Mus musculus: one gene and its partners. The protein of the gene in region 3 purifies or fractionates together with the protein of the main gene of each other region. This does not show direct contact. Links are inferred from orthologs where the notes say so. Each region holds a gene or a part of one and is shown on either strand. Other genes may lie near its edges.

Region 1 (4,259 bases), on a different chromosome or scaffold from region 3:
GGAGGCAGAGGCAGGCAGATTTCTGAGTTCGAGGCCAGCCTGGTCTATAGAGTGAGTTCCAGGACAGCCAGGACTACACAGAGAAACCCTGTCTTGAAAAAACCAAAATAAATAAATAAATAAATATCAATAAAATCTGGTGGTAGGCGATGAGGTATAAATAAGCCAGGTACCAGAGATAGAAACCGTAGTAACAGGAAGCCAACGATCAGAAAGTAACGGTTGCTATGCATGAAAGTACAGTATAATACGGTTCTGTGCCCTCCAGCCCAAATGAATTTATTTCCATTCTCAGGTCCTGTCACACATCTCCAATTCTGAGCCTCTTCTCTAGGTCTGACCCTTATCTGTAACTGAAATCTAGGTGATGGCACACACGTTTTCTCCCAGCACTTGGGAGACAGATCTCCGAGTTTGAGGTCAGCCTGGTCTACAGCACAGGGACAGCCAGGGGTGGAATGCCGACAAACTGGAAAAACCCAAATCAAACCAAACTTACTCATTCCCCGCTTCCCTTCAATTAACAAAAAGCTTAGACATGGTGGCCCAAGACTAATTCCCAGGACCTGAGGCGGGAAAATCAGCAGTTCAAGGCTATCTTCTGCTACACAACTTTTGCGACTATGCTTCAAAGAAATAGGTGCGGGTAGCCAGAAGTCTCAGAGGGAAAAAGGCACTTGCTGAGCAAACCTGCCAACCTCATTTCGATCCCCAAATCCCACCAACTCCTTCAAACTGTCCTTTAACCTCCCCACAGTTGCTAGGGCGTGCCTGTACTGCACAGTAACAATAAACATGCTCGTTTTAGAACAGCGTCTATATTACGATCCATCCCTCCCCAACTCCATGCCCAGTCTATGCAGGTACCATGCTCCGACGTCCTAAACAGTTTTTATCCTATTTCCCTGTTTTTTCTCAACTCTGAAGTCACTGCTCACCATTTTTTAACGTGAGCAGATTGCAAATTTGCCTTGCCACCAAGGCCTGTGCCCCCTGGGGGATCGTGCGGCAAAGTGTCTCGACGAACTGCCTCATCAGCTGAGGTGAGACGCTCGGCTCACGTGGCTACTGCAGTTGCTTTAAAAGAGCAGCTTCCTTCCCCCCTCAGGAAGTAGAACCCGCTCGCATCTAACGCCGGTTGGCTCTGGGAGGAAAATGACTGAATTATCAGTTGGCCTTGAAAGTCGGGTCAAGGAGAGTCCCTAAATTCCGCAGGCGCGTGACGTGACTGGGCGCCGCAATTCACCGGAAGGCGAGCGGGGTGGGCGGGGCGCGTAAAAGCGCCTCGACGCGGAAGTCACGCGGCCCCGGCGCCGCGGAGGTCTCCGTCTCGGCGTTCGGCTATTCGGCCTGGCAGCCTTTCTGGCGCGCTCGGCTGCTATCTGTTCTCTCGGTGCTCGACTCACCCGCGCTGCTGCCTCCGCTGAAGGAGGAGCAAAGCTCAAGATGGCCGACAAAACGCCAGGCGGATCTCAGAAGGCCAGTTCAAAGGTAGTTTCTTAGAGATCTCCGTCAGTCAGGGGGGTCTCTCACCGTGGTCGAGGGCCTACAGAAGCCTCTGGCCTTCGAGGGTTTCCTGGGGCGAGGGGCTGAGGCCTGTTGGCCACAGTGGGCCTGGCACCGCTGCACCAAGGTGCGCAGGTTGAGAGGCCCGAGCGCGCGTCCGTCCCGACTGGGATTCAGCCCCACACCAGCGTGCCTGGTGGCGAGCGGGGCTGGTCACCTCGTTCGGCTTTGTGGGTCAGAGCAGTGGTTCCGAGGTGGTCCGGCGTCCTTGTATCACCCCTTGCTGCTCTCGGAGGCTGCGGGCTAGAGGCTGGGAGAGGCGGGAAGGTTCCCGGTCTTAGATGCCTGTTTCTTCCCCCCTCGTCCTCCCTTCTTTACTTTGGCTCTTACTCGTTCCTGGCCTTACACGGTTTCTCTCCTTGCCGTCCAGGAAATTAGGCTGGACGGGTTGCAAGGGTGTGCGAGAGACCCGCCAGTGGAGGGCCTGGGGTTGGGACGTGCGGAGGGAGCCGCTCTCTGAGCCTCAGGGTTAGAGCCACACTTCCCATGTGATTTTCCTCCCACTTCCCGGGAAGTGAAAAGTGAACAACATCCCTCTTGAGGGCCGCAGACTCAGGGTCTCAAGCAGTATGTGGGGTTTCCATTGGAAAGGGAAACTACGGTAGACGTGGAAATTGCCCAAATGCCCTTACATGTGAGTTTATAGGGAGCCCTGTGCATTGCTTGGGAAACCGTTGAACTGTAATTAAGCGTTAGTAAGGTTGGGTTAACAATTGGTGTTAGTTGCCATTTTGGCCAGCGTGTTTAATCCCATTTATTTACTTATCTATTTTGGATTATTTTGCTTGGAGATTCTCGTCCCCATCTCGGTATTAAAGATGCCTAAGTACTGCCATAAACCAGTGGCGAGGCTTGAGATGCAGAGATAAGGAGTTGGATAACATTTAAAGAGTCTCGGAACGTAAAGTGTATGATTATCTGTTTGCATTTGCTGTTTGGTTTGAGAAACAAACCAAACTTGCTCTCTTTCTAATAAGGCTGACGTTTATTTATTTGTTAATTTTTAAATTTTTGCCATTTTGCTGAATGATTGCCCCAGATTTACTTAGCAAGTAGTAAAGGTCTTACTAGACATTCTTCAGAACTATGGGAGGGCCCAGTTCTGGTTGTCCTTACACCAGACCTTTACTGTAAGTCAGCTTCCTTTTTCTCCAGTAGTTTTTCCCCTCCTTCCCTTTCTGGGGGAGCAGGTGAATGAAGGGGTACCTCATGATGCCACTCCTCCTTTCAGACCCGTGACCAGGACAGGTACCCACATCCATAGTTACAATTTGTTTTGATATTCTTCTCAAAGCATTTAGTATTTCCTGCATGAGGCCTGGGTAGATTGAAAGCTTTTCAAAGTATGTGTTCAGACTTTTTTCTAAGAGAATACTTCTCAGGACTCTGTGTAGTTTTTAAGTATTAAGTAGCTTGTTGGATTTTTTTTTTTTCATTCACACTTGTCAGTTTATAGTCCTTTAGATGTCACCAAAGGGTTCCTTACTCGTGTCTGAAAAGGGAATATTTATACTCAAGAGTTTTGCCAGGATTTTTCCATGTAATGGAAAGTGTTGTAATGGAATGGCGAGGTTATAGGTTTTGAAAACAAATACGATACCTAATCTCTTCAGCCTCAGGTTTTCTTATCTTATTACAGGAAAAAAATTCTTTTATAGGGCTGATAGAAAGATGGAGTTACTGTAAATGTTAGTAAATCTTACTTCAGTTTCTAAGTCTATATAGATCATCCACCCATCCTGCGTACTAGGTTTTTGAGCTGGGTCTCCCGTAGCCCAGGCTGGCTTGAACTTTAACCTTCAGCATCCTGCTGCTCCTTCCTTGTATTTCCCAGAGTTGGGATTACAGGCATGTGCCAACCGCTTCCAGCTCCCTTTTTTTTAAGGAACTAGAAAGCACTGATTTGGATTATTAAGTGTTGGCCATCATAATGACCACTCAAATTGTTGTTGTTTTTTTTTAATTTCAAATGTAAGTCTAGACATTATTAGATTATAAGATCATTTTGGCCTTAGTACAATATTTGGAATTTCCAGGCTTGTATTCTGTGCTGTATATCAAGTAAGTAGAGACTTCTGTTTCATGCTCTTGCTATGGTAGTTACATTTCCATCAATTTGGGTAGAGGTGTTTATTAGTCATTTCTACACATTGAAAGAATATTTGTACAAGATATAGGGTTTTTACCATTGACCATGATGAAGTCTCTATCTTTTACAAAAGTGTGCATGTCTGTGTGCACACATGTGCACCCTCATGCCGCAGTGTAGATGTGACAGAGGACAACGCTAGGTTCTAAGGATCAAATTCAGGCCTTCAGGCTGTGTGGCCTATGTCTGCATTCTCTGAGTCATGCTCATGGCCCCATTAGTGTTTCTTAATTACAAAATACATAAACCACTAGTTATTTTTAGCTTTAAAATTAACTTCATGATGTACACAGTGTATGTAGTTCTTGCTAAGGGGACTTGATGGGGGGGCACCCTTCCAAAGTCCCTTTTATTTTATGTAATTGTTCTATACTTTTCATTTTTAATATCTCCTGGTAGACACTGAGCACATATTTTAGAAATAAAATTTCCTAAGCAAAGTATTTCATGGCTTCAGGAGGGGGTTTGGAGCCATATTGTAGCTTTGTTTCAGAGCAGTAAGACAGAACGTATGGTTGTTAACCTGAGATATTGCTAGATATAA
Region 2 (3,659 bases), on a different chromosome or scaffold from region 3:
AGAGTCACAAGACCTCCCCCCACCCCAAGTTATGCAAACAGTAACAACTGCTAGGGGAGACTCTCCAAGCAACCCCCAAGGCCCAGCCTGTCTCCAAGTCAGAAGGAAGGTCTAAGGACGCAGCTTTTGTGAATGTTCTCCCAACTGTGCTGGGTCTTCATTGATGCAGCTACTTCTGAGTCACCCTCACCCATGTTCATGTAAGGAAGCCCAGTAAGTTCACTGGTTTGCTATGTGCACACACTTGGAAAATGAAATAAATCACCTATCTGTGGTGAAGAGACATTTGTTCATGTCTCGTCAGGAAAAGTCATATAACACAGCCTGTCTCTGGAGGCTCCCACTCTCCTCCAATGGCTGCCTGACCCCTTCACAACCTTGTGTTCTCTAGACTCTTTCCATCCCTAGAAAGCACAGCCCTGTCTCCCTATCCCATGTTTTCATGCAGGCACTCGGGAAAGGGGCTTATGAGCTTTGCAATTCTCTTGCTGCAGCCCCCTACCTTGCCCAGCCCAACAGTGCAAATCGCAACCCCCTAAGCTACTCACAATGGCCTCCTACCCAGTTTCCTTAGACCACAGTACCCCCAGTTTAGTCCTATGGAGGTTCTCAGAGTCCCATCCAAACCCTGATCCCAGCATGTTTCTAGAAAGCAAGATGGAAGGACAGACAGTGGAAACTATCTGAGGGCACTAGGTGAGTACTCGGCCTTTGTCGATGCACCAGTTCCTTACAGGTAAAGCGTGGCCACACCCCCATTTTGCAAATAGGAATATTGGGGACATCTGTGAGGGCAGTCTGGTTGAGACATCTGTCACCCCACTAATGCTAGAGCTGATTCAGCTGATCAGACTGGACAGGCAGGTGTCCCCTTCCCCTCCTCACTGCCCCATGTACATCTCTCCCAAAGCTGCACACTACATCACTAAGTCGGAAAGGACAACTTTCCTGAGTAGAGAAGCTAGGTTTTTGGTTAAGGGTACACAAGTGGCTGCACTCCTCCACACAAGCTTACAAGTTCCCAGGCTACACAGCTAGGATGTGAGAGGACCAGACACTGAGTCAGGCTGTCCCGAAGGTTCACCTGTCTACAGGACTCCTGTTCCCATCACCACCACTGGGATGGCAAATGTGTGCATGTATGTGATATGTCTCACACAGCATATCTGTACTTGTGTCCTGCCCATGCACTGTGTGTCCTTCAGAGACCCACCTAACAGCAGAGGTCTAGGCACCCACATACCTTTTCGAAGTGGCCACTGCGGATATAGTAGTCTGCCAAAGAGCACCACAGCTTGCCCAGCTGGTCAGTGAAACGGGTGAGCCCACCACGGATTATGGCATCCACATTGAGAGACTGTACCTTGTCCGGATTCTGGGAGATAAGGTCACACAGCTCGTGCCACAGCTGCAGGACACAGGGTGTTGGGGGAACATCTCAGTCTCGGTCCATGAGGGAAGACACCTCTCACCCAGTCTCCACATTCCAGGGAACCCACCTGGTAGTTGGATTTACCAGCCTTGGATACAAAGCGCTCATCATTCACCACGGTGGCCAGGCGCTGTGCAGCCTCGTCTAGCCGGTCACTGGATTTGAGATACTCGATGTATTCCTCAGCGCTCTCAGGACTCAGCTGGAGAATGAATACCCACCCCACTGAAGGTGACTGGGGATGCAGGAGATGATATCTCTCTTCTGACTAAGTGGCTATCGTCACTCCCACCACCACCAGTTTTAGCAAACAGTCAGCCCCACTAACCCGGCCTCAGTGCTATGGTGGTCCAGCCTGAAGTCAATACTCCAGCATTAGGCCTTACTGGTTTGGTCTTGGCTCCTTTGGGTCAGTCTTGATACCACAGGCCTAACACGGCTACAGTACTTATGGTGGTTAGTGCTAACTGTCAACTTGACAGACTCTAGAATCACTTCTGAGACAAGCCTTAGGGTATATGTGTGAGAGACTATCTGGATGAGAAGACTCGTGTTGATTATGAAAGGGATCATTTCCTGGGCAGGGATCCTGTATGGTGCTGTATAAGAAGCATGTGTGCATAGCTGTTTTCTGATCATGGATTCATAGCTGTTTCAAACTCCCATCGCCTTCTATGAAGGACTGCACCCCTAAACTGTGAGCCAAAAAAGCCGATTGCTTCAGGGTGTTTCTTACAGCAAGAGGAAGAGAAACTAAGACAGTAATCTTGTCTGGACCTTCAGTCTTGGTCCTGAGTGTCCACCCTTGGCACCTCCCTTAGCCTTGACACCTCCCTGCCACAACCCCAATACTGTCCAATGCTAATTCTAGGCAGACCAACTTAAGACACTGGTAGTCAGGGAAGGATCTGCTTCTGTCACAAACTGTCATCCAAGCAGTACCATGCTAAGAAATTACAATACCGGGCTGGTGAGATGGCTCAGTGGGTAAGAGCACCCTACTGTTCTCCCGAAGGTCCGGAGTTCAAATCCCAGCAACCACATGGTGGCTCACAACCATCTGTAACAAGATCTGACTCCCTCTTCTGGACAGCTACAGTGTACTTACATATAATAAATAAATAAATCTTTAAAAAAAAAAAAAAATTAAAAAAAAAAAAGAAATTACAATACCAATATCACAAGCATGAGCTACAACGCTCTGCTTGCAATGCAGCCCACCATCCAGATATCTTACTCCCACCTCTTACTGTGGCTCTGGTTTTATTCTACTTCACATAGCTGGGTCATGCATGTGTTTACCCTGTTAGACTGAAAGTCCTGGGCAAGTGGTGGTGAGAGCCCCATGTATGGTGCTCCTGGCTCTCATCTCTGTGCCCACTGGGAAGTGGGCATAAGCTAAAAGCTAAAGACTTGAAAACTAAAGATAATAAGTTACAGTGCTTAGCTCAGGGTATAAAGGGAGTTAGCTCAGGGTATAAAGCATTTGCCTTGCAAGTGTGGGGACTGGAGTTTGGATCTGTAGAGCCCACATAAACATTGGGTAACTATGACAGCACTGGAAAGGGGATCTGTGGGGCTAGCTAGAACTGGCTAAATCTAGTCTGGGTTCACTAAAAGATCTTGCCTCAATAAAGTAAAGATTGATCGAGGAAGACATCAGTGTCAACGTTGGGCCTCCACATACATGGGTGTACACACACACACATAAATACACAACACACACTCACAAAGAAAGAAACCATGAATAAACTGTACCTATTCATCGGAGCCTCTTCCTGCAGCCTATTTATTGCATATTGGGAAGGTCCCTATCCCAGTGAGCCATGTTTGGAAGCCTACCTAGGAACTGGTCACTTCAATGGTGCTCACCTTGAGGAAGCGACGGTAGCCTCGCACAGCAGTCTCAGGCAGTGGGTGGGAGCGCAGGAAACGTAGATACAGGGGCCAGATGCGAGAGTGTTGTGTGATGGGCAGTGCCCTGAGGGCACGGTCAAAGGTGCGGCGGGTATGTGTTACCCTTCCCTGGTCCATGAGAAACTGGCAGTAGTCTAACCACAGGCGTGGCATCTGAAAATAATGGAGTGAGGGGTCTGAGGCACAGGCTCCATAGCTTCCTTACACTTCATATCTAGGGCACAGGGGCAGCAGGGAAGCAATAGGGGTCATCACCTGCCACCCAGGCTCTGTAAATAAGCCCAAGAGAGTCATTATTTCCTCAAGCTGA
Region 3 (3,659 bases):
CTCCAGGCTGAGGTTGTGAAGAGCCCAGCAGAGCAACTGTTTAACCAAGGCTTATGATTTATTGACCCAAGGAGTGAGGGTTAATTTAATTGTAGTGTAGGAGCAACCTTTTGGCCCAGCTCAGCTGAAGGAAGTGATGTAGCCTTGTGCCATTCCTTCCCTTCTGTTGGGGCTGCTTCAATACCCAGTTGGTGCTGGGGCCCAGGAGTACTGACGGTCAAGAGTGTCTGTGAAGACAGAGAACCAGTGCGTTTTGTCAGCTGGGTAGAACTGGCCTGGTCTCATCATTTTGCACCTTTCTCAGACTTCTGTGGAAAAGGCAACCTTTTATTTGGCTGTGAGAAATAAAAGTTGAAGTCATGTTTGAAGCCTTGCATTGCAATTGCTGCTTGTAGGGCCTAAGGCTGCTGTGGCTTTCCTCATGTGTAAAACTACTCACAGTACCTGTTAAGTTTCCTGCTTCTCTTGGAAGTCATCAATGGAATTTTTTGCAGTAGGAATCACTACACACACATGGACCTTACTGTATTTCCAGCCTCTTAAGTCGTATTTTACATCTGATTTCCTATATATATTTGCCACCTCTTTAAACCTCTGATGTCAGGACTGGAGTAGAGCTGTAGACTGTCTCACTTGAAGCAGATTAGGGAGTTGAGGCACAGTTGGGTGAGACACTGATAACACCAATCTTCTAGCAAGTTCCAGTGATATTCTCAATTAAGAGTCTGGCTGTTCTGCTTCAGGGTTAGTTTACTCCTGTTCTGTTCGTGTTCTATACTCTCTGTCTTAGGTCCAAGCCCAGGTGATCCAAGAGACCATAGTACCGAAGGAGCCCCCTCCTGAGTTTGAGTTCATCGCTGATCCCCCCTCCATCTCAGCCTTCGACCTGGATGTAGTGAAGCTGACAGCTCAGTTTGTGGCCAGGAATGGGCGTCAGTTTCTGACCCAGCTGATGCAGAAAGAGCAGCGCAACTACCAGTTTGACTTTCTCCGACCCCAGCACAGCCTCTTCAACTACTTCACAAAGCTGGTGGAGCAGTATACCAAGGTGCTGGGTTTGGGTCCGGGGTAGTATAGTATCTCACCACTGGGTATGCAGCATCCACTCTGTCAACAAGGATATTTGCTTTGTGTGACATATGAATCCCAGCTTAATGTAAAGTTTTGGTTTAAAATGCTTTTATATATTTGCGAATGTGTGAGAGAGAAAGTGCGAGTGTGTAGGTGCTTTTGTGCCCTGCCATGGAGGTTGCTTGGCATCAGAAAACAGCTTTCAGTTCTCTCAAGCTTCCATAGCAAGTGCTTTTACCCTATGAACCATCTCGTTGGCTCTAAATCTTTTTGTTTTGTTTTGTTTTGTTTTGTTTGAGACAGGGTTTTCTTTGTGTAACAGCTCTGGCTGTCTTGGACTAGTTTTGTAGTCTAAGATGGCCTCAAGCTCAGAGAACCACCCGACTCTGCCTCCTGAGTGCTGGGATTAAAAGTGTACCTTAAATCTTTATTTCCCCCCCCTCTCTCCCTCCCTCCATCTCTCTCTCTCTCTCTCTCTCTCTCTGTCTCTCTCTCTCTCTCTCTTGACAGTGTCTTACTGTGTAACCCCAACCCTGACTGACCTTTGAACTCACTCTGTAAACCAGTCTGGCCTCAAATTCAGAAATCCTTTTGTCTATAGGATCAAAGACATGGGTCCCCACATCCAGCTTATATTGTTCTCTTTAAATACCTCTTGGTATTGAAGAGACGTGTTTATAAACTGCTGTTATTAGGTGGTCATTTGCTGTGTGACAAGACTAGGTAGCACTATCTGCTTTTAGGTGTCTGCATTGCCACTTGTCTGCTCCATGGCCTGAGAAGCAAGCTCTTAACTGTTACCTACTTTAATTCTCACAGAACTTTTAAAGTGGTGTTCTTCAACTTTCACAAGCAGAAACCAGCTAAGAGCCATGGTTTCATGGGGCTCGGGTTCTTCTCAGTGGTAGAGTTGCTTCTCTAGCATAAGGTGCTGGGTTCAGCACTGTTCTTAAGGAAAAAAGACCAAAAAGGGATGAAGTGTGAAATCATTCATGATTGCTTGGCCTCAGGCTTGTAAGCGATGTTGCTGAGATTCAAGCCTTGGCTGTCTTTATCCTATGGAGTAACTTACATGAGAAAAAGTTCAGTATGAATCAACTAACATTGAAGACACATGTGCAACATCTTCCCAAGGGCCCTGATAATGTGTACAGCAGCCACTGTTCTCAGTTATCCTGCCTGGAGTCACACAGATGCTGCAGAGCTGGGACTGGAGAGCTGGCACTTTTCTTTACTCTCAACCCTAGGTCGCACTGCTGCAGTCAGGAATCAACATGGCAAGCCAGGCATGGTGGTGCACACCTTTAGTCCTAGCACTCTTTGTTGTTGTTTGTTTGTTTGTCAAATGACTGGGTCTCCTCCTATAGTGTGGTTTCATTCTGTAGACCAGGCTGGCCTTAAACTCAGGGAGATCTGTCTGCCTGCCTCTACCTCCTGATTGCTGAAATCCCAGCACTCATGAGGGAGGATCACTGAGTTCAAGGCTAGTTCGTGCTGCATAGTAAGTTCTAGGATATCCTTGCCTACAGACTGAAATTGTCTTTAAAAAAAGAATCTGATACAGTAATCTAACATTTAAAATTTGTCAGAGAGCTGGATACAGTAGCTAACACTTGTAATTTAAGTTCTATGAAGATTGAGGAGTACTAGGAGTTCGAGGCCAGCCTGAGCTCTTTGAGAAACTTTCTCTTTTAACAATAAAATGTTTGATATGTTACAAAGGCTTCTCATCTGTTGTGGGTTTACCAGTGGCATGTTTTTCTTGTTTTTCTTTTTAGTGGAATGGCCTACATCTGTTACTAATATTTAGAAGCAGTGCTAGAGATTTAAGTTGAAAGGACTTATAAGTACTGTCTCTGAAGAATAAAGTTTGAAGTATTTTAAAATGTGTTTTTGCCAGGCATGGTGGCGCACGCCTTTAATCCCAGCACTCGGGAGGCAGAGGCAGGCGAATTTCTGAGTTCGAGGCCAGCCTGGTCTACAGAGTGAGTTCCAGGACAGCCAGGGTTACACAGAGAAACCCTATCTTGAACAAAAAACAAACAAACAAAAATGTGTTTTTAGAAAATGACCAAATCTAGGATCTGGTAGAGCAGTAAAGCAATGACCGAAACCTAAAGCCACAGGATTCTAAAGTACACAGTCTCGGGGTTGTGGATTTTTAAATGTTGTTGTATCTATTTGTATTTTTTGTGTATGAGTTGTTCTGCACCACTTGTGTGTGGGGCCGTGGAATTGAAAAAGACTATCAGATCTCCTGGGACTGTAGTTATAGATGTTTGTGAGCCACCATGTGGGTGCTGAGAATCAAACACAGACCTCTGAAAAACAGGCCCTGCTCTAGCTGCTGCTGTCTCTCTAACCCATATCAGTTCTAAGTATGGCCTAGGTTCAATTTGAGCTGCTTCCATAGTAGAAGTTCTCATCTCTATTTTGTTACTTTTTTGTTTCTTCCTCTGACTTCGGCTATTGGCATTGACTCATAACTGACTGGCACTGGAGAAAGCTGTTCTACCAGATAGATTCTAGGGGTAGGGATCCAAAGAGGGGCAAGGTAAAATTGTGCTGCTTTGTGGGTGGAAGCTGGG
Region 4 (4,425 bases), on a different chromosome or scaffold from region 3:
AAAAGGGCCTTGAATTCCCTGGAACTAGAGTTTCAAGCTGCCACGCTGGTCTTGGAAAAGCAGCAGCCAGTGCTGTTAACTAGAGTCCTATCTCCAGCCAATGGTCCTTTTCTTAATGAAAGCTTTGCCATCAGGGTGGTGGTAGTGCACGCCTTTGATCCTAGCACTCAGAAGGCAAAGGGAGGCAGATCTCTGAGTTTGAGGCCAGCCTGGTCTACAGAGTGAGTTCCAGGACAGCCAGGGCTCACAGAGAAACCCCACTCATACAAACAAATATGATCTTAATTTCACAGAATTATATTGTAGAAACCAACTACAAAAACCAAAACCAGCATAGTGGATGAGGTATAGGTACTCAGTGAAAAGTAACTTTATTTCATAAAAAGATTTTTACTGTGACAGGGTCTCACTATGTAGCCCTGGCTGGAATTTGCTGTCAACAAGGCTGTCCTTGAACTCAGAGATCAGCCTGCCTCAGACTCCAGAGTGTTAGGATTAAAGGCAGATACCACTACACATGGCCTTTATAAATCTTTTTAATTATGATGCTATTGATGACTACTCTAAAATCTGATTTGTTGACATAGCACAATGCTTCAAATTCAAAGTTTAATGTCAGTTACGAATATTAAAGATTTCTGAAGAGTAGCAAGTAAGGTCAGGCCAATGCCCAAGTTAATCTCCAACCTCTTAGGAAAAGGGCTCTATTCATTTCTCCCTTTAAGACACATGGGCAGGCTGGAGTGGTGGCTCAGCAACTTAGAGCCCTGGCTGATCTTCCAGAGGACCCAGATTCTATTCCTACAGCTGGAGCAGCTCAGGACTATCTGTAAACCTAGCTCCAGAGAAGCCAAGGCCCTCCTCTGGCCTCCAGAGGCACTAGGAGGGTGTGTGGTACCTGCAAGCAAAAAACTAATATACATTAAAACAAAACAAAACAACAACCAAAACCCCATTATCTTCAGGGTACATTAGAACACTTACTTAAGGGAAGAAAGTATTCTCACTAGCAGTCACTCACCAAATTCTGTTGTTGTTCACTAATAATGTTTTCAGTCTTCTCAACAAAGGGAAACCGTCCAGTTTCCGGATCTCATTGTCAGAAAAATCAATAGCATCAAACTGGTCTAAGGTGGCACCCAGATTCTCAATAACCGGAATTTTATATCCTGTAGAGGGAAAACATACATACAACAAATATTAATATAAATGAAAAGTCCTGAAAATCGCAGGAGTATGTGATGGAATTTGACTCAGCGCTCCCATTCGGGAAGTATTAACCAGGCACTAGCACCATGCCGTGCACTGAACAAAAATAAGGTAAATGACGAAAGGGTTAAGTGGAGGCCTTAGTGCTACAAAGCTTGAAGTAAAACTGAAGAGGCTGAAGGCAAGAGGAAGAACAGATGGGCATATTTACTAGTATTGGTGCCCATGGTTTATTAAGAACGTCTATGAGGTATTCACATTCGTCACTGAGCTAGGTACTATAAGGAAGGACACAACCCAGCTGTGAAGGAGTGCAATAAAAGATATGGTAGCAGAATAAGCATTCTCCAGACTGCACGGTTTTCAGAGAGACAGCAGACATCAAAACTGTGCCAAGACAGTGAAAGGACCCAGATGCTCCTGAACCGGACTTTTCTCCAAGAAAGTTAATTTCATTCAACAAACACAAAGAACACTAGGATTTCCCATAGGCAGGAAGAAACTTTCAAAAATGGCAGTGCACAGCGCCCCCGAGACTTTGATTGCCTCTGGTCACAGTCTTATAATCTTAACCCCTTCCAAAGCCATCTCCTGAATAGTTAACGATTACCTCTCAGTTCTATGTTTTAAAAATCAAGTGCTACTTCTGTCAGAACTGAACAGGTGAGTTCCGCCACCCCACACACAGAAGTGACCATTATGCCACGGTCAAACAGCTCAATCTTGAAAACACCAAATTATCCGGGGCTGCGGGTCTGGCTCAGTAGCGCGAGTGCTTTCCTGACAGACATGAAACCCTGGGCTCATCCAAAGCACCATATAAACGTGGTGCAGGCATTTAAACCCAGCTCCCAGGAAGTGGAGGCAAGAGGGTCCGAAGTTCGAGATAAACCTTAACTATATAACGGTTTGAAGTCAGCTCGGAATACACGAGACGTTGTCTCAAAAACAAATGAACAAAACCAAACCGGAATTATTGGGGCAATTAAGGTAACTCTGGTACATATCCACCCTACCCTCAGGTGCCACATTAACGCTTTTGCTAAAAAACAAACAAACAAACAAACAAACAAACAAACAAAAAACACCAGCCAGCAGCCGGCCTGTCCGTAGCGTTTTCTATTTTCCTAGTCCTCCAACAGTTAAAGCTGCTCGATGAGCGGGGCAATGCCTAGTGAGTACGGTCCGGGGAAGGAATCGAGGCGCCGTGTTTGCTAGCCGGAACGCCGGTAACAAACAGCCCCAAAGGGCCCTGCGGGACGGTGGATCGGAGGCGCCCAGCCCGGGTGGAGGCCCACGGGCCAGGCTCCAGCCTCTGCGCACGCGGCGGGGCTGGTTTCCCGCAGCCACGCGCCGGGGCCGGAACACAGCCCGCGCTCCGTCTAACTCACCCCGGAGGTCCAGTTCACGGTCCCGTACGGCATTTGTGTACTGCGCCGCCTGCTCGATCAGCTCCGCCGTCAGCTTCACCATCCTGTCGCAGCCCGCGGACCCTCACCTCCGACACCAGCCTGCGCCTCCCGCCAGTGCCGTGTCCCACAGTGCACCGCGCCTCGCCGCCAGACAGCACCAATCGTATCCCCGCGCAGCTCGACCGCCAGGCTAAAGCAATCGAAGACGTAGCCCCCGTGTCTTTGCTTCTGGGTTCTGGGCTTGAGCGTGCCTGGGAGTGTGGGGAGCCCAGATTCCAGTTTTTTTAATCCAAAAGATAAGAACACGCGAGGGATGCTCTGTCTCACGTCAGTGAACCTCAAGGGAGGGGTAGTTGGGACTACTCTCCCTTCTCCACCCAACAAGGGGCGGAGACTGTGAAGTCTCCTGAAAGTCAAGTTCCTAAATGTCTAACTTGGGCTTCCGCAGGTAAGGGGCAGGACCCGTAGGCTGGATTGCCTTAAAACAGAACCCTTCTGACCTGGTACAGTCACCTTAAAGCTTGAGGGTGAACTTGTAGCCTGTAGACATTTAGGTGTTCATACCAAAGCGCTGGTCAGGTGGCTTAGAGGTTAAGAGCACTTGCAACTTTTGTAACGGACTTGAGTTGGCATTCCAATATCCGTCTGGACACCTGACAACTGCTTGTAACTTCAGCCTCAGGGGATTTGCCGTCCATTTCTAGCCTCCTCAGACACCGGCAACCGCAAACACACACACACACACACAAATAAAATAAACCATAAGTGATATTCATATTGACTAGCTGTGATGGAGAATGCCTTTAATCCTAGCAGTTTGGAGACAGAAGGAGGTGGATCTCGGAGATAGAGGCCATCCTCGCCTACAGAGCCAGTTCCAGAACAACCAGGGATACACAGAGAAACTCTATCTCAAGCAAACAAACAACACCAAAAAAATTCATACGAAGTGCAGGGGAATACACATATCAGAAATTGCCATGTGATGAGTGCCCCACAGTGAATACAATATACCTGCAGAGCCTTGGCCTCTGTCTCCAAAGGCTTAAATGCACAAAATCATGTGCATATTTTTTTAAATCATAGCTTACTAATTAATGTACATGCCCACCTGTGTATACGTGATGACCCCTTCAGCCCTAGGCCATCAACTCCAACTGAGGCTGCACCTTCACTAGTGACCATCCCTGGCCTCTCACAGTGCCAAGCCTTAAATGCACGAAATCATATGCGTATTTTTTTTAAATCATAGCTTACTAATTAATGTACATGCCCACCTGTGTATAGGTGCAGGGGAGGCTTCAGCCTAAAATTCCCTGGAGCTGGCCGTTGTGATCCTTTGGACATGTGTGCTAGAAGTCAACCCCTGGTCCTCAGCATGAGCAGAAAACACTCTTAAAAATACTTTTAGAAATTATTTGTTATATCTCTGTGGTTTTGGGCACATGAGTGCAGATACCCACAAAGGCCAGAGGTGCCAGATACTCTGAAGTCGGGGTTACACGTGGTTGCTGGGATCTGAACTCTGGTCCTCTGAAAGAGCTGTACACACTCTCTTACCTGCTGAGTCATGGAATGACTGACCTGAGAAGGAACTTGAACAGCTCACTCTCCTGCCTCCATCTTCATGTGCTAGGATTATTGGAGTGAGTTTATGTAGTGGTGACCCCTTCAGCCCTGGGCCATCAACTCCAACTGAGGCTACACCTTCACCAGTGACCATCCCTGGCCTCTCACAGTGCCAAGCCTCAGCTGCTGTTCGTAATCCCTTTGTGCCTTCAAAACTAGCATCACCTGGGTGATT
Region 5 (4,278 bases), on a different chromosome or scaffold from region 3:
AGACAGGGTTTCTCTGTATAGCTCTGGCTGTCCTGGAACTCACTCTGTAGACCAGGCTGGCCTCGAACTCAGAAATCCCCCTGCCTCTGCCTCCCGAGTGCTGGGATTAAAGGCGTGTGCCACCACGCCTGGCACTTTCAGAATTATTTGAACACTTTCTTGTAAATCAGATTATAATGTTGGTGTGTTCACTTGTGTAAGGTCCACCTCCACAGTTTTATGATGGCTATTCCTGGTTTTCAACTCGACTACATCTGGAATGAACTACAATCCAGAAATGGAGGGCACACAGGATCTTGAGGCTGGAAGACACAGGCTGCTGACCCAGATCTTGACATGGAGATCATGAGACAGCCCAGGCAAGGTAGTGCACAACTTTAATCCCAGGACACTGAGGCAAGCAGTTCTCTGAGTTCAAGGCCAGCCTGGGACAAAGCAAGTTCCGGATCCAGGTGTGGAACTTGAGGACATAAAGACATTGGGAGAAAGAAGATTGACTCACTCCTCGTCACCTTCTTGCACTTACTTGACAGCATCTCTGTTGGAACCGATTTCTTCAGATTGTAGCTTAGACAGAAGACCAGATGAAACAACCTACTTCGTGGGACAGAGCAACTACTAGATTCTTGGGTTTCCCATTCACAGCTGCCCATTGTCAGGTTAGTTGGACTGCAGAGTGTAAATCATTGCAATAAATTCATTTAATATATATAGACAGTCTATAGGTCCTCTGACTATAGAGAACCCTGACTGATACATTTTTCAGCTTGAATTCACCACCACCACCACCCTTTGCGGGGGGGGGGGGGGGTTGTTGTTATTGTTGCTGTTTTTCAAAATAGGGTTTCTGTGTAGTCCTGGCTGTCCTGGAACTCACTATATAGACCAGGCAGGCTTTGAACTCAGAAATCTCTGTCTCTGCCTCTCAAGGGCTGAGATTAAAGGCATGGGTCACAACTGTCCAGCTATAGCTTGAAATAATTTTTACATGCAACCAAAAATATGGGGAAAACATATTTACACAAAGCCCTGGTTTCTCTGACCTTTCTTTTGCCATTTGCTGCATTTTTATTCCAAGCGAGCAAGGTTTATAGTGTTTACATTCTTTCTCTGAAGACCTAGCTCAGTGTGTGTTTTTAATGCTATTAGATTCTGCAACATCTCGCCTGCAAATTTATTTCCACCATTTAGTATATAAGGGAATAGTTGGGAGTGAATACCTGGAGCCTAGTAGGGGATTCGGCTCCTACTCCAAGGTCAGAAGGCACATGAATCTCGAAACCTTGTGCCAATGGCGCCATCTCTTGGCCGGCAGAGAGGAGATGCAATGTAGTCCTCCCGTCAGCAGGGTGCAGTGCGAGCCGGAGAGTGCAGCTTTGCTTCCGCGAGTCACACGCAGGCGCAGACGTGGACTCCCGGCAGCCTCCGCTCTCTTACCCCGCGCGGTGCATCCCTTTGCGGACTCCGTGGAGGCTCGGCGCTGCGGCGGACTCCGGCGGTGGGCGGGCTTCCGCGCAGGGCGGCCGGGCTCCGCGCTGCCGCCGCCGTGGCCCATGGGCACAATCGTCTCGGAAGGCCGGGTGAGTGGCGCCGCGGCGGCCCTGGCAGGCGGTCTGATCCGGAACGTAGACTCGGGTGTGCGCGCCTTCACGGATGCGCTGGACGCGAGGCCGCGGCTCTAGGCCGCGCCGTGAGGGGCGCGGGGATGCGGGCGGGGCACCCCGAGCTGCCCGGGGGGTTCCCAGCCCTCCACGTTGGGCTCCTTCAGCCTGCCACGTTCCACCGGGCCACCTAGATCCCCCCTTCACCAGTCCCGATCCTCTTGACAGTGAAGAAAGTACCTTTCTCCTCTTCATGGCCCATGCCCAGACCAAGTTGTTGGGTCGCAAGACCGCAGTAACCCAGACTGCGTCGGGCCTCAGGAATGGAGAAGCCAAAACACAAACCCCAAAACTTGTTTCCTTCCAGAGCACCTGAAGTGAAGGTTGAGGCCGTTGTCTCACCGGGACAGAGAGTGTCTGTTGTAACCCCCGGCATGCTCAGGCCTGCGCTAAGGGGAGTTTTAGCGTTCATGTCCCTCCGCTAGCTTTCGAGCTTCTTCTGCTTGGACCAGTTGTGCTCTGAATGAGTGCTGCAAGCTCAGTAAGGTGCTTCTCCAGGGGTTAGATCTCTAAGAAGCTCGTTGGAAAACCCAGGCCTGGATTGATCCGAAGAACCAGATTACAAGCTGGAAAGACCTGGAAGAGGAGTTTTATTACAAGTGGAAAGGCTGCACCTATGAGGAAGAGGGAAAGCAAGAGCAGAGAAGCGCTGTAGAGTATTCTGCAGTTTAAGGCTGTGACAGAGGATGAAGAGGGACTTAGAAGGGTGATCAGTCAGACCTTCCTTTGAGAAGTCAGGAAGGGGGGACCATTGACATAAGTTCTTGTTATAATTCTGCTTGTTCTGGGAATAGGTGAGGCCTGTCTCTCTGCAACAGGTGGCTCTTTTAAATCATGGGGACACATTTATACTGGGCTGAGCTGTAAACATTTCGAGATAACAAATTTTAGTAAATATGAGTAATGGAGCCCAGGGTGGCAATATGTCTGGAATTCCAGTGCTTGGAAGGTGCAGGCAGGAGATTAAGAGTTCCGAGGACAAGCCACACGTGGAAATCACATGTGTGATTTCCTACAGGCGTCATTTTTCTCCTACCATATGGGTTCTTGTTGACCCCCTGATTTGTTATTATGTACCTCCTCCCCCCCACCACCTGTCCCCCGCATAAATTTTTCACACATCTTTCCAACAGGGAAGAGTTCCCTCTAGTAGGTCATTCTACAAGTCTTTCAGAACAGTAGAGAAATCTGCTGCGCTGTTTGCTTTAGTTACTCTGGTTAGTTTGTTTTTAACAGTCCCTGGCCAATGGTATCTTGGTAATACGGATGGGAAATGTGAACTATCAGAGATGGCATAGCTACACACGGAAGGGTATAAATGATTCGGTAAAACATCATTAAGTCCTGAGTATAAGATATGATTGTGGTGTGGATCAAGCTAACAGAGGTAGACTTTTAGACTTGTGATGGTTACTCTTGGTTAGCTACATCTGGAATCTACTAAAACCCAATGGCTGGCCACACCTGTGAGGGATTTTTATTTATTTATGGACAGGGTTTCACCTGTGAGGGATTTTATTTATTTATGGACAGGGTTTCTTTTTGTAACAGCCCTGGCCCTCCTGGGACTCATCGATGGTTCTGAGCCACCATTACAGGTGGTTGTTGGAAACTGAACTCAGGACCTCTGGAAGAGCAACCAGTACTCCTACCCACTGAGCCATCTCTTTGGCACCTGGAACTTTATAGTTAATAATGCCCCACATAGAGAGCTTCCGTCTTACTCCATTATCAGTTCTATAACTGAAGGATTTGACTCATAAGTCAGTTCACCATAGTCTTTTAGATTGAGAATTAATTCTAGGCTGGACATAGTGGCATATCCCAGCACTCAAGAGGTGTAGGAAAGAGTCACAAGTTCAAAGCCAACCTCGTCTTTGTGATAAGTTCAAGGCCAGCCTGAGCTACATGAGAGCCCTGAGGACTTTTGTTTGTTTGTTTTTTCTTTTTTAGTTTTTTGAGAGGGTTTCTCTGTATAGTTCTGACTGTCCTGGAACTCACTTTGTAGACCAGGCTGGCCTCAGAAATCCGCCTGCCTCTGCCTCCCAAGTGCTGGGTTTAAAGGCGCGTGCCACCACGCCAGGCTGAGGACTGTTTTTAAACTAGTGCCTAAGTATAGTTTTGCAGATTAGAAAGAACCCTGCATTTGTGACAGGAGGGTCCATGGTGCAGCTGTTTTAACACAGAGACATTCATAACTTGCTTCTGCTTTGCATCTTTTAATCTCTGTCCCTGCTTGTCTTTCAGCATTAAACCAAAAAGATGTCCCTATATGATGACCTGGGAGTGGAGACCAGTGACTCAAAAACTGAAGGCTGGTCCAAAAACTTCAAGCTCCTGCAGTCCCAGCTCCAGGTGAAGAAGGCGGCGCTCACTCAGGCCAAGGTAAGAACAGGCCCAGGGCAGGAGAGGGCAAGTCCGCTGAGTTCCTTTAAGCTTGCTCTTTGCCCCCTTGCTGGATACGTAGAAAAGAGTGGGTGGGCGAGGGGTGGAGAGCTGATTGCCTCTCCTGGCTCTTGGAAACAGCAGGACCATTCATGGAGTGGGAATTAAAAAAAGCCATGAGACTGGCTTTAGACTGGAGCATGCCTGAGACTGACTGCAAACTGTTTACAGA
Region 6 (4,239 bases), on a different chromosome or scaffold from region 3:
CCATTCTTCTTACTTAAAGCTGGTATCAACTATAACTATCCCTAACTCATGTGACCACCAGATCTACCTAAACTGTCTTTAATCACAGTGGATTTAAGAGAACCAAGTTGGGCAAGTAATCCTATTATCTAAGAGGCTGGCTGAGGCAGGAGGACTGCTTTGAGTTTCAGGCTACCCTGGACTACATAATGAGCACTAGACCAGCCAGGGCCAACATAGCAAGGCTACCTCAGTAGCTGCCACATCCTACATCCCTGCCCAGAGAACCACTATGTGGGTACAAATCTGTAACCTCTGCACTCAGGAAGCTGAAGCAGGAGGACCTTTGGTTCCAGGCCATTTTGAGACACACTGGCACCTATGTCTGTGAGAAAAAGAGGAAGACAGATACAGGCAGAGCCACTGAGTGTCTTCTACACAGCACCGACGTACTCATTAGCACACAAACAGAGGATCTTACATGTGGCTAAGAATAAAAATGAACGCCTTTAATCCCAGCACTCGGGAGGCAGAGGCAGGCGGATTTCTGAGTTCGAGGCCAGCCTGGTCTACACAGAGAAACTCTGTCTCAAAAAAACCAAAACCAAAACAACAACAAAACAAAACAAAACAAAACAAACAAAAAAAGGAATAAAAATGAGCTGCCCTGGCTAACTTTATGTCAGCCTGACACAAACTAGGGTCATTTTAAAAGATGAAAGCTCAATTGAGAAAGGCCCACTAGTTCGACCAGTGGTGCACTTTCTTGATTAATGGCAGACATGGGAGAGCCCAGCCCAGTGTGGGTAGCACTACTCATGGGCTGGTGGAACTGGAGGCAGTAAGAAAGCAGGCTGAGCAAACTGGAGGGGAAAGAGCAGTGATCGATCCTCCGTGGCTCCCGCATCGACAAACTGTTACCTGGAGGTGTGGAAGAAAACCTTTTCTTTCTTTAAAGCTGCTTTTAATCTTGTTGTATCATTGAGAAGAAACCTAACTAAGACAGCAGGTAAACACACTTGACAAGCCTAACATTTGCACTCAACCGCCAGGACCAGAGTCTACAGGGAGAACTGCCTTCAGCAGGTTGTCCACACACCCATTCGCAGGAGACAGCAAGGTACATGGAGAAGTTCTCCTAACTGCTGATACCAATGAAGACTTGCTTCTCTTCCATTCTGCCCTGATACAGAGTAACTGCTCTTTATTAGACCACACCCAGTTTGGCTCACAGGCTTGAAGAAATTACCTAGATAACTAGCTGAACACTGCAATCTCCACAGCCCAGATCAGAAGAGGTGGCCATGGATGGCAAAATGGTTCAAAGTAAAAGGAAGAGAAGAGCGGGTAGGAAGCTCAGCCTACACTCACATCCTTCTCCTGAATGGTGCACTCTTTACAGTAGTAGGCATCGGAGACTCCGGGGCCGCCACAGATTACACACCGGCCCTGGTAAGATCCATAGTTACACTCATCACATATGCGGACCAGGGTGCAGGGACGCACGTAGGAATCACAGATCACACACTTGCCGTCACCTGTAGAGAGAGGAGAACTGAGTTATAGCCAATAGCGATTACTCCCCTAAGATCTCTCCTCTGCCCTATGCGGGAAATCACTAGTCTCCTTCTGACAGTGACCTTAGGACCTTCTTCTACCTTGACAGCATAAGCCTTATCCTGTACCCGTCTCAGTTTAGTAGTTCATGGAAAGAGTTTGTATTAGTGTCTGGGAGCTTTTAAGTCTATGTAGTTACTGTCAACAAATTGACAAATGTCATTGGGCTGGGAAGGTCCCCACTACTCTTGACAAATCTTACTGTCCAAAAGTAGACATTTTTTTTCAAAACCTAAATATGAAGTATTAAAAATTGCATGCTTAAGTGGGAGGATGGTGGGGCAGTCTTTGGTGGCAGCCAGGTATTTAGTATCCTCTGCAGGCTGGTTTATCTATTTAAGACTTCTTTACTAGCCAGGCAGTGTTGGCATACGTCTTTAGTCCCAGCACTTGGGAAGAAGAGACAGGCGGATTTCTGAGTTCCAGCCTGGTCTACAGAGTGAGTTCCTGGACAGCCAGGGCTATACAGAGAAACCCTGTCTTAAAACACCCCCCCCCCCAAAAAAAGACTTCTTTGCTGTTCCACTGGAATTGACGACTCTTCAAAGAGTAAAGGTGTCAAGGCCTGAGAGGGCGTGTTCGGCTTACATTTTTCACACAGTCTTCCGATAGCTGCAAGGTCAAAGATAGTAAAACATCGTTAAAATTAAGGTTGTGAGGTAGCAAGCAAAGTTTTTCGTCAAACTGAGTATAGAGGATGGCGAAGGTAGCAATGATTACAGTCAACCGTACAGGATCGTGGTCACATTCTCCTTTCCTCCCTCTCCACTGTCCCCCACCCCCTACTTTTTTGTGATAGAATCCCACTGTGTAGCTTGAGTTAGCTTTTAAGCTCTAGCCAGGCTCGAACTCGCAGCAATCTTCCAGCCTTCTGCCTCCCAGGTGCTGGGATTACAGACAAGAGTTCCCGGCCCACGACCCTAAATTTTGCTTTACACCAAAGGCCATGTCAAAAATAAAAAAAATGTCTGGAACCCCCCAAAATTCAAAGTATTCTAGACCGGCTTCTCCAGACCTGGCACAGAGGATCCCGCCAGCCTTAGACTCCCGGATGCGCGCTGCTGCCCTCTTCTAAGATGCCACAAGCCGGTGAGCGCTGCTAGAATACCCAGGCACCGTAAGGCGCGAAACGTGGACACGGCAAACCAGAGCCCTAAAGAGGAGGCTGAAGTCCCTAGTCCCCCACTTTCTAATCCCATCCCACTCAACCAAAAGGGAGCACGTCCCCAACTCACCCACACCAGCCTGCTTGCGGCAGAAAATCAAATCTGGATGATGTTTAGCCATAACTCTTTTTCCAAGCCGGCGGCCGGAAGCTTAGGGAACTTCCGCCCGACCTTTAACCTACGGCGTGCTTACTTCCGTTCCTCCGTGATTGGCCATTAAGCTGTCCGTCAGCCTTTAGCCTCGGGGGGTGGGGGGGGGCACCAAAACCGGCTAGATCTCGCGAGAGTTTCCTCGCTAGGTCCTTGCAGGTGCACCAAAGGTTTTTGAATAAAATTCTCTTTACTTCCAGATTTGAACTCATAAACTGAAGTTTGTTCTTGGGTAAAAATTCTACATATGTTGCATTCTGTGTTGGGGATTGACGCCAGGGCTTCTTGCATGCTTCCGCCAAGTATGTTGATTTGGGGATATTCTCTTTCCTGGATGACCTTGAACTCCTGCCTCCCCTCCAGCTTCCACACCCAAGGGCAAAGGTGACAAGGTTGCGCCGAACGCCGAGTTGGCAGTTTCCCCGCATCTTTGCTTTCCACGCCGGGTTTCCGTCATGTAAGCCCCGCCCACTGTGCTATCTGCACTCTTGGCTGCGGGAGGAGGCCCCACCCTCGCGGTTGACTCGTCTCTCTGTAAGCCCCGCCCCCTTCGATGCTTTTTTAAGGGCGCCATTTGTCACGTCACTTTCATGCGACCTCATCTTTGTCAGTGCACAAAATGGCGCCTTACAGCCTCCTGGTCACCCGGCTGCAGGTAAGCGAGCCCAGAGACGTGGGTTTACGGGGGCGGGGAGCCTCCTGCCTTGCCCGCGGCTGTAGGCGAGGCCAGGCGAGGCGGGCTCGATTCGCGGCTGACGTTCCGTGCACCTGTCGCGGTTGCAGGCCCAGCGCCCTTGTGGGTTCCTGCGTTGTCCTAGGTCAAGGCGTCCCTGGCACAGGCTGTTCGCAGTTCCCATCCCCGCCCGCCGGCAAGCTTGGGTTTAAGCAGCGGCAGCCTGGTCCAGGGTGGAGGCACTCCTTTTTTTCTGAGGGTGGAATCCATGCTCCCCCAGGGTGGTTTTCTGTTCCTCAAGGTGATGACAAGGTGATTGGGGGGCGCGGTGGTTGTGGGTTCCTCTAAAGCCGGGTGCTTGAAGCCTTCACTTCCCACCAGTAGCAGAGACTCGTCGCCTCATTTATCCGTGGTTGCCGGGCATGGAGTTTGCAGAAGCTATATCCACTACTACCCTTTGAGGAGACTCGGGGTCATAGACACAAGAAGGACTATTCTGGGCCCCACCATAATAAATAGTCACGATAAGAGTGCTTTCTCACCTTTGCAGCAGATGTCAAGGCTGTTTACTAATGTTACAGATGTTTTATCTGACGACATAGATGTGAGATAATTTTTCCCCCAACTTGGTAGGTGGAAAAACTGGAAGATATA
Region 7 (4,159 bases), on a different chromosome or scaffold from region 3:
ACTGACAATTATTAAGAACAATGTTTTCTTGCTCACATGCAAGCTGTGGCTTTTAAGATGGAACTAAAAACATTTAATAAGATAATACATGTAATAATGCCTGGAATATCTGAAATGTACCAACAAACACTGGTTACTACTGATGTTTCAGTTTAAATTGTACTTGGAATAATAATAGGCACTAATATACTGCTAGTAAGTATGGAAACTAGTCATCTACTCTAGATATTTTATATAAACTACTTTTTTTCTGACAGTCTCACTTTGGGAACTTCTAAGCATGTGCATTAACGTGCATACATAAGGATACTCATACTTTCATCTACAGAAAATTCGAGGAAAGCACTTAACACCAATGAGCAAGACAAGAGACAACTACTGTACTACACAGCCAATGGGACCCAAATCCCAAGAGCTCACTGATATTACATTTTGTATTTAGGAATAAGTATGGACTCCAAAGATGGAAATAATGATTTGTAGTAGCTTACTGCTTTTTTCTTTATACATTTATGTGTGAAAATTTCTTGCCCTTTGCATCTTATCATCTTATTATTTAATTTCAGCTACCACGGGATTGTAGTGAAACACATAATTACAAATTCTTATCAGGAATATTAAGAACCATTAGGATAAAAATGTCCTTCCCAGATTTCTTGGGAGCTGGTGAGATGGCTCAGACTGAAAAACTGGGTTGACCCCTGAGGCCATCATGGTCAAGAGGAGGTAACTGACTCCGTGGTTTCTTCTCCTGGCCGCCCCTCCACCCCCACCCCCACCCACACGTGCTGGAATGGAGACAGCAAGGTCTGGTGACAGCTGGGGTGACAAAATGAACAAGCCTATGCTGTCAAATACACTAAACAAGAGCAAAGAGGGGGAGGGAGGGAAGCAAAGAGTCCCTGGCAGTCAAAAGTGCCTTCAAATCAAGTAAGGAAAAAAAAAAAAATACCAAGCACAAATACTGTATTGCTAAAGAAAACCAGTTCTATAAGAAAAGGTACTCAAAAAACTTAGGAAACTGCAAAAACTGCCTTGCAGAATCTCTAGAAATCAAGGACTCTCCTGTACTTAGTGACAAATATGAAATATTCAGAGGAAACATGAAGCTACCCGCGATATACGCAAAGTCCATTTTGCCAATGTTGTATGTTTTGCAAGAGAAATGACCATAATCACTGTAATGTGGAGCCCCAATTGCAATAAAAGCATTGAGTCGTGAACATACACACAAAAAAACTCTGCTTGCACAAACTCAGTGTTCATCCCAATGTGACCTCTATAAGGAGAGAAATTAGTTGCATCTTAGCCAAATGTGACATTAACTTTAACTTCACAGAAGTTCCCCACTTTATCAATCCAATATAAATGCCATTTATGACAGGTTGTGATGCCTAACTACAGTACTAAGTTTCCTGTTGAGAAAAGGAGAATTCTACATACCACTATAATCTATGGAAAAAGCTCACTGCAACTTTGCTCTCCCTTGGAGAATATTCATGAGCTGTTTCTACCTAAGAACTGATGGAGCTCAATTACTAACATTTGGAATGTTTGCTTGAGAGAACAGCTGTCTTGGGATGTTTTATTATTACAATGCTTAGTGTTATAAGCTTTAAAAAAAAAAACCTACACAATCAAAACATAACAAACCTGCTTTCCGTATTCAATATTTCAACCTAAGGAGAGCGACAGAACGCATCCTATCCTGACCTATTCTCACACTGGTAGTTAGAAATCAATCCCAAAGGACTTTCCGTTAACAAAAACTCAAGAGACCACACATCTGACTTGACAGCGAGTCGGTGTCACAAGACATAAGAAAATGATAAAATCCTACAACTGTTTTGGACATTTGGACTTCCGTGGATATATTTTTTAATTAACCCAACAGATCCCTGTACTGCCGAAGCATAAACATACAACTAATTAAAATGGGAGGGTAGGAATATAAACAAAAGTACATTTTAAGTATGAACTGTGAAAGAAAAGACTGGAAAATGATAATACAACTGCTTACTTGCTAAATGCCCTGTCTTTGCGAAAAGTCTAAGAAAAGGAACTAAAATGCCAGACCAGGAATCGGTGTAAGCCTTTCTCAATCTGCACGTGGGTGTTGTTTGTTCAAACACGCTTAAGATCACTTTTTTGAAAAGTGCGTCCAAAGTGGGGAGGAGATAGAAATAACTTCCAGAGCGGAGGGGGAAATACGTGTTTTCACAGGCCTACCCCAGTGATGCTACTTAAAAGCAAAGCCGGCTTTTAAGCAAAGCAGGAAATAAAGGAGATGGCGGGAGGGCAGGCAGAGGGCGGAAGTTGGCAACGGCCTCTCCTGAAGTGCCTCAATGGAAGAAGGCCCTTCGTCTCCCGCCAAACAGTGCGCCCCGAGGTCGGCTCGCCTCTATCCTCCCCCAAAACAGACAGCGCCCGCCGCCGCCCACGGGGGCAGTGCCCTTGGCCATCCGGTTCCGGCTGCGGGCCTCACGCGAGCACCGAGGCCTCGCGGCCCGCTCCGCACGCCCGCCGTTCCGCGGCCTCGTGGCCGCCACAGGCCGCTCGCCCCGGCCGCACACACTCGGCACGCGCCCCAGCCGGCCGACGGCAGACAAAGGCTCGGCAGCCGGGCCTGCTCCCCGCCACCATCCAACAAAGCCCGAGCCGCGACTGCGCGCCCCGGCCTGGCTTACCCATCGGTCCCCGCACGCTTCTTGCCGGAGGGGTAATCCTCCCCCAGGTCCAACCGATGCCTCTTGGACATCCTCGCACTCCCAGAAGCGGACGCTTAGGAAGGAGGGAAGAAGAGAGACTCCGGCAGCCGGATCCACGCACAAGAGGCCCGCGGCTCAACTCGCGGGGACCCCCACCCCTCCCGCCACCACAGCCCGCTCCGTGCGGCCCGAACCAGGAGCTAAAATGGCGGCCGCGACGAGGGCAGGGCCTGCGTGCGCGCCTCCGCGGCGGGCGTGCCGGCGTGGTGCGCGCGCACGCCGTCCGGAGGCGGGAACTCCCGTCCCGCCCGCTGTGCGATTGGCTGAAATGGCTCTGAGTTCCCGCGGGCTCCTCCCTTTCCCCTCGCGTCTCTCTGAGAGCTGATCTGAGCTGCTGCTAAGGACCGAAACGCGCCTCAAGCTGTCACTTGCCGCCTGGAGTTCGTTGGGAAAGTTGAAAAAGCCTAGTCCTGTTTAGGAAATCTATCCAGCTGTGTATATACTTTTTGCTTTTAGGGTATGAAGCTCAGGAAGGATAAGAAAAACAAGATCACACAGCTGGCAAGTGGCAAAGCAGGACACAATTTATAACTCCAGAACGAGAATTTGCAGTTGTTGCGCCAGATGCCCTGTAGCGGTGAGAAAAAATGTTAACTTTAATTACTGTGACTCGTTTTGTCCATTCACCCCAGAACAGATAACATCTATTTGTTCAAGGTATAGGTGTTTTGTATAGGGTTCAGAAAATTGGAGGTAATCGCACTGGGCACTGTATTTTGCCTCCAATCCTCTGCCCTAATCTTGCTCCGTTTGTGTGTATATGAGTGCATATTAGGCACTCAGAGACATTAGCCCTATCTCTGTCCTCGTTTGGTTTGGTTTGGTTTGGTTTTTTGAGACAGGGTTTCTCTGTGTGGCTCTGGCTGTCCACAAACAAGCTCTGTAGAAGAGGCTAGCCTGGAATTCAGAGGTTAGGCTGTCTCTGCCTCCCAGTGCTGGGACTAAAGGCGTGCCCCAGCATGCCTAGTTGCTGTGCTCCTTAGTAGAGTGAACCCTGAAAGACATTTTATAGACATGGTTACCTGGACTGAAGGAAATCAACAAATAGCTCATCCATTAAGACTCCACTGTAATGGCAAGTTGTTGAGGCAAGGTGACACTTAAGAGGTTGTGTATCTTTCTCCCTTCAGCCATTGTGCATACTCAATTACATTCATTTCCAGAAGTGTGGGCGAAAGAGGTCTAAGGATCAGCCCAAATACAGGGTATCACTTCATGTCAAGACTCTCCTTTGCTGCTCCTTGGCTCTAGTCCCTCGAAAATTCTCAGAAGGATAATCTCTAAGATTAAATACAACAGAAACACAACAGATGATATTGTAACTTTCACAATATCCAACACAACTGTCTAAATGTACATTGACAACCTGTTAGGCTAGATATGGTAGTGAG

The links.
Region 1: the proteins of Sf3a1 (region 3) and U2surp purify together in Homo sapiens (affinity purification with mass spectrometry; 4 studies listed by BioGRID and IntAct, with this or other methods). This does not show direct contact. The link is inferred for Mus musculus from reciprocal best matches to the Homo sapiens genes SF3A1 and U2SURP.
Region 2: the proteins of Sf3a1 (region 3) and Xab2 fractionate together in Homo sapiens (co-fractionation; 3 studies listed by BioGRID and IntAct, with this or other methods). This does not show direct contact. The link is inferred for Mus musculus from reciprocal best matches to the Homo sapiens genes SF3A1 and XAB2.
Region 4: the proteins of Sf3a1 (region 3) and Snrpa1 purify together in Homo sapiens (affinity purification with mass spectrometry; 6 studies listed by BioGRID and IntAct, counting the BioPlex papers as one, with this or other methods). This does not show direct contact. The link is inferred for Mus musculus from reciprocal best matches to the Homo sapiens genes SF3A1 and SNRPA1.
Region 5: the proteins of Sf3a1 (region 3) and Rbm17 purify together in Homo sapiens (affinity purification with mass spectrometry; 4 studies listed by BioGRID and IntAct, counting the BioPlex papers as one, with this or other methods). This does not show direct contact. The link is inferred for Mus musculus from reciprocal best matches to the Homo sapiens genes SF3A1 and RBM17.
Region 6: the proteins of Sf3a1 (region 3) and Phf5a purify together in Homo sapiens (affinity purification with mass spectrometry; 3 studies listed by BioGRID and IntAct, with this or other methods). This does not show direct contact. The link is inferred for Mus musculus from reciprocal best matches to the Homo sapiens genes SF3A1 and PHF5A.
Region 7: the proteins of Sf3a1 (region 3) and Dhx15 purify together in Homo sapiens (co-immunoprecipitation; 5 studies listed by BioGRID and IntAct, with this or other methods). This does not show direct contact. The link is inferred for Mus musculus from reciprocal best matches to the Homo sapiens genes SF3A1 and DHX15.

The regions. Positions count from the first base shown.
Region 1 is NC_000075.6:95,509,049-95,513,307, reverse strand, and holds the start of U2surp (U2 snRNP-associated SURP motif-containing protein), read left to right. Parts: upstream 1-1,311; 5' UTR 1,312-1,446; coding exon 1,447-1,491; intron 1,492-4,259.
Region 2 is NC_000074.6:3,614,751-3,618,409, forward strand, and holds part of Xab2 (pre-mRNA-splicing factor SYF1), read right to left. Parts: intron 3,503-3,659; coding exon 3,305-3,502; intron 1,635-3,304; coding exon 1,500-1,634; intron 1,409-1,499; coding exon 1,244-1,408; intron 1-1,243. UniProt on the Homo sapiens protein: Involved in pre-mRNA splicing as component of the spliceosome. Involved in transcription-coupled repair (TCR), transcription and pre-mRNA splicing.
Region 3 is NC_000077.6:4,166,843-4,170,501, forward strand, and holds part of Sf3a1 (splicing factor 3A subunit 1), read left to right. Parts: intron 1-790; coding exon 791-1,048; intron 1,049-3,659. UniProt on the Homo sapiens protein: Component of the 17S U2 SnRNP complex of the spliceosome, a large ribonucleoprotein complex that removes introns from transcribed pre-mRNAs.
Region 4 is NC_000073.6:66,058,868-66,063,292, reverse strand, and holds the start of Snrpa1 (U2 small nuclear ribonucleoprotein A'), read right to left. Parts: upstream 2,958-4,425; 5' UTR 2,683-2,957; coding exon 2,601-2,682; intron 1,170-2,600; coding exon 1,022-1,169; intron 1-1,021. UniProt on the Homo sapiens protein: Involved in pre-mRNA splicing as component of the spliceosome. Associated with sn-RNP U2, where it contributes to the binding of stem loop IV of U2 snRNA.
Region 5 is NC_000068.7:11,600,387-11,604,664, reverse strand, and holds the start of Rbm17 (splicing factor 45), read left to right. Parts: upstream 1-1,465; 5' UTR 1,466-1,580; intron 1,581-3,908; 5' UTR 3,909-3,923; coding exon 3,924-4,046; intron 4,047-4,278. UniProt on the Homo sapiens protein: Splice factor that binds to the single-stranded 3'AG at the exon/intron border and promotes its utilization in the second catalytic step. Involved in the regulation of alternative splicing and the utilization of cryptic splice sites.
Region 6 is NC_000081.6:81,868,982-81,873,220, forward strand, and holds the start of Phf5a (PHD finger-like domain-containing protein 5A), read right to left. Parts: upstream 2,912-4,239; 5' UTR 2,884-2,911; coding exon 2,832-2,883; intron 2,209-2,831; coding exon 2,185-2,208; intron 1,518-2,184; coding exon 1,351-1,517; intron 1-1,350. Other genes in the region: Aco2 (aconitate hydratase, mitochondrial precursor), read left to right, coding at 3,532-3,567.
Region 7 is NC_000071.6:52,187,593-52,191,751, forward strand, and holds the start of Dhx15 (pre-mRNA-splicing factor ATP-dependent RNA helicase DHX15), read right to left. Parts: upstream 2,955-4,159; 5' UTR 2,759-2,954; coding exon 2,688-2,758; intron 1-2,687.